Coturnix japonica: one gene and its partner. The protein of the gene in region 2 interacts with the protein of the main gene of each other region in a biochemical or structural test. Links are inferred from orthologs where the notes say so. Each region holds a gene or a part of one and is shown on either strand. Other genes may lie near its edges. The genes, in order: SHH and PTCH1.

Region 1 (3,812 bases), on a different chromosome or scaffold from region 2:
TCCATTTTTTTCCCAGCTTCTTCCCCCCCTTTTCTCCCCCTCCCTATTTGTTCAGGTGCAGAAACCCTATGTGCCAATTCACACACATACTCTCCAAAAAACCCAGGACCTTCCAAGCACTATTTGCACAGCAGAGCCACTTTTCCAAGGCACTCAAGATGTGTATTTGAATTTTAAATGCAGAAGCTCGCTCTAAATACTTGCCGCAGCGCATTATCAATGTCCCTTTTACCACCCCTGCCTCTCCCTCCCCTGTCCCAGTGACAATAATTCAGGCCTTGGGGGAACTCTTCTTTGCATTCCAGTCTCTGGGATCATACTTTTTGCAAACAGAGATCTAGATAAAGAATCTTCCTGCCTGCCATTATGGGGTTTAATCTTCTCATAAGATGCTCCATCATGAAACGAGGTTTCCACAGTTTGAAACCAGACCGAGCGGGTGGAATTCAAGCCCATTCCCTTGCAACCCTCGTGGTACAGTCACACGACCCCGCCTGACACGCACTAAATGTCACCCCAAAGTCCGCGTGTGCGGAATCTCAATGAGCAGCTCGGGGGTTGCTCCTCTCCTATGAAATATACATGGAGGTGGATTAGGGTGGGTGCTCGGAATAAGGTTATTGTGCGCCACAATCAGACACCTTGAGCCATAAAGCCCATCCTCGCTATTGAAAGGGACGTTTCATATCGCTGTGAGACCAGCAGCTTTGTGGAGCCTCCGAAGGGCTGGGGGAGATGAACAAAAGCAATGTCAGGCTCCCAGGACAAAGCCCTGGGCTGGAGAAGTCCCAGTGTGGACTGGGACCCAGTTACAGCTTGGCATGTTGAAGCCAATGCTGTTTACTTGCTGTTTCAAAGTAAATCGATATTTTTAGAGAAAGCCCATTATTTTCTTTTGCAGCCAAGTGTTTCTTGACACTTGCAGCTCTCTCCAGGCTGGAGGATGCTCTCACAACACTGCCGTACAGCACAGGGAGGCGGGCCCGGCGACTGGCACACGCCAAAGGGGTTCGCTTAAAATCAGCAAAACGACGATAATTTTGTTTTAGAAGAGCCAAACGCAGCTCGGGGTTTCTCGCGAGCTGTTCCCGGGTTGAGACAGCGTGTGGCGTTGTAAGCACAGGGAGGGGAGGCAGAAGGAGATGCGCGCTTATCGGGCGCTGGGAGTTTCCCGTCGGCTCCCGGCGGAGGGGCCTCGCTCGGTGCTCATTTCCCGGTCCCCTCCAGCCCCAAGATGAGCGATCGCTTCGGATGGGGAGAGCTTAGATCCCACGGAGGGAGAAGAAGGGCGTGTGGCGGTGGTGGGAAGGCTGGGCAAACTGACAGAGAAATTAACGCTGGCAGGAGGTGCTGCAGCTGGCTGGGCTTCTTCCTTCCTTCCTTCCTTCCTTGCATTTTTTTCTTTCTTTCTTTCTTGCATCTCCCCTATCTCCTTCACTGCCCCTCTCCCCCCACCGCCTCCCCCACGTGTGCCTCAGAGGCGGGCGCTCGGTTCCGCACCCCGACGGGGCGGGCAGAGCTGATGGGACGGGGAATTGGAGCACAGAGCCCGGGGGTGTCCCCACCGCGTCCACCCTCCCCGCCTCACCTGCTTTGACTGAGCAGTGGATGTGCGCCTTGGACTCATAGTAGACCCAGTCGAAGCCGGCCTCGACGGCCAGGCGGGCCAGCATCCCGTACTTGCTACGGTCCCGATCCGACGTGGTGATGTCCACAGCGCGACCCTCGTAGTGCAGCGATTCCTCGGAGTGGTGGCCGTCCTCGTCCCAGCCCTCGGTCACCCGCAGCTTCACCCCCGGCCACTGGTTCATCACAGAGATGGCCAGGGAGTTCAACTTGTCCTTGCAGCGCTGCGGGGACATGGGGACACAGGGAAAGGCACATTGAGGGGACACTGCTGTCACCGGGATCAGATGCCCCCCCCCCCCCCCCCCCCCCCCCCCCCCCGTCGCATCCTACCCCCCCCCCCAGCCAAAGGGAGGAAGAAGGGATGAAACACCNCACTGCTGTCACCGGGATCAGATGCCCCCCCCCCCAGCCTCCCCGCACCTCCAGGGTCGCATCCTACCCCCCTCCCCAGCCAAAGGGAGGAAGAAGGGATGAAACACCGCAACGCCGCTCCCTCTCCAGCACCTGCCCCACAGCCTGAGTGCGCGGTCTAAAAGCCCCGCATTCCTGCACTAAGTGCCCTGTCCCTTTGCCGAGAACAAAGTTCTGCCGAGAATAAACACTCGCCATATATCTGAGAGTCAGGGATTCTCCCCGGAATGTCTCCCCGGGTCTTTTCAGCTTAATTCTGTGTTGAAAGGGGTCTCAGTACACGTTAACAGACTTTATGTGCTGCTGTTTTTTGTTGTTGTTGTTGGGTTTTTTTTGTGTGTTTTGTTTTGTTTTTAATTATTATTTCTCACCCATCACTCATTAGAGTCCTCAAAGCAGCGTGGGCTGGGAGCATTTGCTCTGCTTTTGGCATAGACATATGATAACATGGCTCAGAAAAGGAAGATGGAAAGCAAGAGAGGGCCAAGCAGAGGAGTTACAGGGATGCTGAGTGGCCTTTGTGTGCAGTGAGAAGCTTTAGGCCCCATAGGAAAATGCTATAGGGTTTTCCTTCAGCCCCCTCTCTGGAGCTACTGGGCTCACCTAGAGCCTCACAGTGGGCAGATTCAGGGGTGAGCTCTATACAGAGCCCTGAAAGTGTAGAGGATTAGTGTGTGGGTCAAGGAGGTGGAATGACCAGCTCTACAAGGAGAAGGACTTGCAGCTGCCCTCAGACATAAGAAATAAGCACTGAAAGCATTTGACTGAAAGGCACACAGCTAGAAAAACCACACATGGCCAACTTTTTCCTCCTTTTTCAGAGAGAAATAACTCATGACTACAAACAGCATGAACGCACATGGGGTAAAGTCACAGCAAGAGGCAGGAGCTCTCCCTCACATACATCCCCAAGTGGGACGCCCTGTCCCACAAAGGCCCCTTCACAGCTCTTAGCAGGGCCCAGCATGGCCATCCCTTTTCCAGCCCCACTCTAAGGGACATGACAAGACTGTTCAATGTGAAACTTCCCATGTGTCTATCACAGCCATAAAAAGCAATTCCAGCAACACACACGGCCCCGAGAGATATCAAACACAATCACGAGCTCACTTTGGACTCTGTGGCCTAGCACTCAGTGCAAAGAGCCAAGGAAGCTGCTTTCAGCCCATTCCCTACAGCAGAGCACGAGGAAGCAGAGGGCATATTTTTACTTCCCCCCTTTGCACACCTGAGAGGATGGATGTGCTCCTGCAGAGCTAAACGGGTACGAGCAAGGTATGGGGGTGGCAGGACGTCCGGGTATTTATAAGATCAGGGTAGCAGGATCTCACAGTAGCAGGATATCGCAATACCAGGATGTCACGATAGAAGGATATCACAACACGAGGATATCATGATAGTAACATATCATGATAGCAGCCCCAGTGGTGGGTGTCCCTCCCGGCCTCTGGCTCAGAGAACGCAAGGAGCCGTGAATCGAGCAAGGGAACGGCCTCCTAAAGGACTTTCCTCCCTTTCACTCCGCCTGAGCTGGATTGTCGGAGTCAAAAGCCGTGAAGCCCAGACTATTTATTAATTCATCGGGTCGTGTGCCACAAATCAAGCCCAATTCTGTTCAGCCACCGTGAAGCTCAGCAGGGCTGCCTCCGCCGACGCTTTGTGTGGAGGCGAAGTTGTTCAACAAGCCCTCTCCTGCCAGCTCCTAATCTCTTCACAAATGAATTGCTTGAAGGAAACACTTAACAGGTACCTGTCAGTGTAAACAACCTGGT
Region 2 (3,819 bases):
AAAAAGCCATAAAAAGGGACAGTGGATCTCAGCAAGATTTCATACTATAATATCTAGGTTATTTTCAGTTTTACCTCGACATACATCCTCTGCCAGGCTTCCAAAATTGCTGCTGCTTTATCCTCATTCCAGTTGATATGTGAAACATACTCATATCCCTTGAAGTGCTCATACATTTGCTTAGGAGTCATTAACTGAAACATCGTTTGCAGCGCCTGGGCACTGTAACAGAGAAAAAGAAGAAAAGGAGGAGGCATAAAATAATCTCATGGCATGAAATCCCAAATGAGAGCCTAACAGCAGTTTGTAGGAGCTCTTGATTTTATAAAGCACATACTCACATTAAAATTGAATAGAGTATAATTATGCTAACTACGTATCTGGTGCAGCTGCATGGCTCTTTCAAGTACTGAGATTAAAACTTAGTTTCACTGAAGTTTATTTAGCCATTATTTTTGATAGGATCACTTTGGGTGCAAAGAATAAAACACTACTAATCAATTATAAGGATCATGATTAACAGATGACTATTACTGTGAAGATGACATAAAAATAGTTATTTCTATAAGATCTTTTAAATGCCATTGAAAATTTGTCATTTGAAAACCTTGGCATTCATTAACCATTCAAGAGAAATGCCATATTTAATTCCTGTTGCCTGGCAGACTGGGAGGACTACACAAGGACAACAATTATCCAGTGTGACTTTCCACAGTATTCAAATGCATCCAACAATTTCAGAAGCTTAACAACTACTTTATTTTCACTAAAACATATCCTTTGGCTTAATTGTTGAAAGATTTACTGCAATAAATAATTCTTCAGTATTTGGTGGAAATGTAAAAAAAAAAAAAAAAGTTCATAATCAATATTAAGACTTCCAGTAAAAAACACCTCTATTAAATATGTGATAACTGTGCTTCATTTAGCTTACTATGTCCTATATTTTTCAGAATAGTTCTCTCTCACAGGCTTCTCCCTCAGTGAAGTCCTGACTTCTTTAAAGAAAGTCTAAAAAAGTGTTTTATCGGACAAAAATACATTCAAGATGTAATAACATAAATAATATACTTTTCTCCATATTGATTCTAAACAAAAAGTTACTTTGAATTTTGAGAAAAGCCAAGTGAGTACTTTACCTGTATTTTTCCCCCTTTTTTGTCTGACAGTATTTCAAAAAATGCTCAGAGCTGTTTGGTGTTTCAAACACTGTTCAATGTTTTATACATACACACCAAACAACAAAGATGTCAGAAAAAAAAAATAAAAAATCTATTTCTAAGAAATGTACATTATCATTCGGAGGTTAGAAGCAGGAAGCAGTGATGTCAATTAAACAATTATCTAATCATTGTTTTAAATTCTGCTTTCTTGAGGCATGCATGTCCTCCTAAAAGGGTTCATAATACACATGAAGGATAAATACACATGTACCCTAAAAACGAAATTCTAACAGGGAAAAACTTTAGAATTTTCTTTAAACATTTATTTCTTTACCTGACAAGTTTACCAGAACTGTTCTTGACTGTACCACCTATAATTAACTCTTCCTGCCAATGCATGTATTTTCTTGACAGTCCATAGCATCCACCACTCAATATAAGGGCTACATCAAGAGGCTGGAAAATGTTATAAAGAAGAAATTGATCAGTTGCATAACTTCAGACAAAACTGCATGGAAGTTGATTTATGGTACAGTAAAAAAACTGATATTCAAGATTGTTTAAGAGGTCTAAAAAGAGAAATTATGCTCAACTACTCAAGTGGACAAATCAGTCAGGTATTAACTGAACAAACAGCAACTTTCCCAAAGCCTGACTGAAAGACAGATGTATAAAACTGGGCACCACTAATTTAGATTATTCACAAAGTAAACAAAATTGGCCCTACCTGAAGGAAGGAAGGCTTTGCTATCTGGTATGAGCATACAGAGTAGATGCATTTCAGCAGTGGTTCTCTCTGAGGAATTAAGTCTTTTGAAATGCTACACTGCCACTTTGCCATCCTTGGCCAGCAGTACTGTACTCTGACTCTAAATATGGGGGATTAACTATTGCATCACAGAATGACAGAAAGTTATCAGCTGTTTCAGCAGCAGTCAATTAGACCTACATACTGCTTCTTCTCTCCTCCCTGCCTCTAGCTTCCCCAATATAAGATACAAACAAGCACAAGAACTTACTTTGGTAGAATTTTTATTGGGAGCTGTGATTGGGCAATCAGGATCAGCAGGATTCAGGCAAGGTCGATCCATATAACCATGACCAACCTCTGCTTTATTCAGCATTTCTTCCCAGCTCTCCACTTGGTAGTTTATTTTCTTTAACTCTTCCAAGAATTCTAAGGGGTCAAAGTTGATCCACTGCAAAGGAGGCTTCCCTCTGCAAAATAAATCAGGGTTTTTTTTGTTTTTTTTAATTATGTTTGTTTTCTAAGTTATTACATTTGCTGATAAGATTGTTTCATACAGGATATGAAATGTGGCATATTTTAATTTTATTTGTTTATGTACCTTTTTTGTAGCCTTAGTGCCATTTAAAAATAAATATTTGGGTTTTACAAAGTTATTGCAAAAAATACAATATATTCACAAGTAAAAAGCACTTCTATTTACAAGCAAAAGTAAAGAAATTATTAAGCACCTAAATAATAAAAAAGCAGCCAATTGCTGCTGGACAGAATTAGGGGAAAGGAAGAAGGAAAGAAAAGAAGGGGCTGAAGAAAGAAAGCCTTTCTCATAGTATCAGATTACTTCTTGCTACTCTAATAACCATCTTGCAGATGTAATCAATCAATACAGATGATCTTTGGTTATACTATGCTTCTTCAAATGCCCTGACAGCTTGACTATTGGCTAGCAAGCTCTCTTGCTATCACGGCTACCATTACTATCACTGTCGTATTTCCCACCCCAACTTGTGAATTTTTGATGTTGACAGACTAGAATGGATTTTGGCTGCCTTATTCTGTGGTTCAAACCACACTGTATCTGCCTAACCAGGCTTAAGTCACTATTCCAGTTCTCCCAACCAGAAATCACAAGCCCTGTATGTTTCCCATCTAGAAATGTACACTAAAGGTTATGAGATAGCCATTGCAAATTGCTTTTACAGAGACAGAAACAAGAGCAAACCAGAGCAGAAACAATTAACTCTTGCATAATTAACAGAAAATGCCCACACATATCAACAATTAATTGCTTGAATGATTTAGGGCATATAATATCACATTTATAAATTGTGAGAAACCACCCATAAAAGATACTATGTATGGTTTCTTCGATGAACTCATAAGTAAAGGATTTGGATTTTTTGTTTCTTAGAAGATCTGAGATTTAACCCCAGAAATTTTCTTAGAAATAAAATTTCCAATTAATCAATGCTATTTGTAAACTAAGAAAAAAAAGAGACAAGTTTATTTCCAAAAGAAGCGTAAAGCCCTTAAAGCTTAGACTGAGAACTTATAGCTTTAAGGGCTTGCTAGCAGAGTGAGAAAAATACTACAGAAACCAAATTGATGCCTACAATTCATCTTGCAGAAACAAAAATATGTGTTCAGTTAAAAAAAAAAGTCTATGCAGACTTCCAGTAGAGACGCCATAATTTTATTTTACTGTTAAACCAGAATGTCAATGGATAGTCAGAATGCAATGCAAAATCATACATAGTTATAGAATTAAAATTAATCAGACTAGAAAGATAAATAATTGCATGCTTACAATAGATAGGCAGTTCCTGACTGTAGCTTTGCTCCCTCCCAGAAGCAGTCCAAAGGAGTGATAATTAAGCAAGGATAAAGATATTCTATAATCTGTCAAAA

Evidence for each region.
Region 1: the proteins of PTCH1 (region 2) and SHH are reported together in a solved structure, tested with the Homo sapiens proteins (5 studies listed by BioGRID and IntAct, with this or other methods). The link is inferred for Coturnix japonica from reciprocal best matches to the Homo sapiens genes PTCH1 and SHH.

The regions. Positions count from the first base shown.
Region 1 is NC_029517.1:7,179,822-7,183,633, forward strand, and holds part of SHH (sonic hedgehog protein), read right to left. Parts: intron 1,851-3,812; coding exon 1,589-1,850; intron 1-1,588.
Region 2 is NC_029547.1:37,982,275-37,986,093, forward strand, and holds part of PTCH1 (protein patched homolog 1), read right to left. Parts: intron 3,811-3,819; coding exon 3,719-3,810; coding exon of another isoform or gene 3,715-3,718; intron 2,382-3,714; coding exon 2,183-2,381; intron 1,620-2,182; coding exon 1,498-1,619; intron 223-1,497; coding exon 75-222; intron 1-74.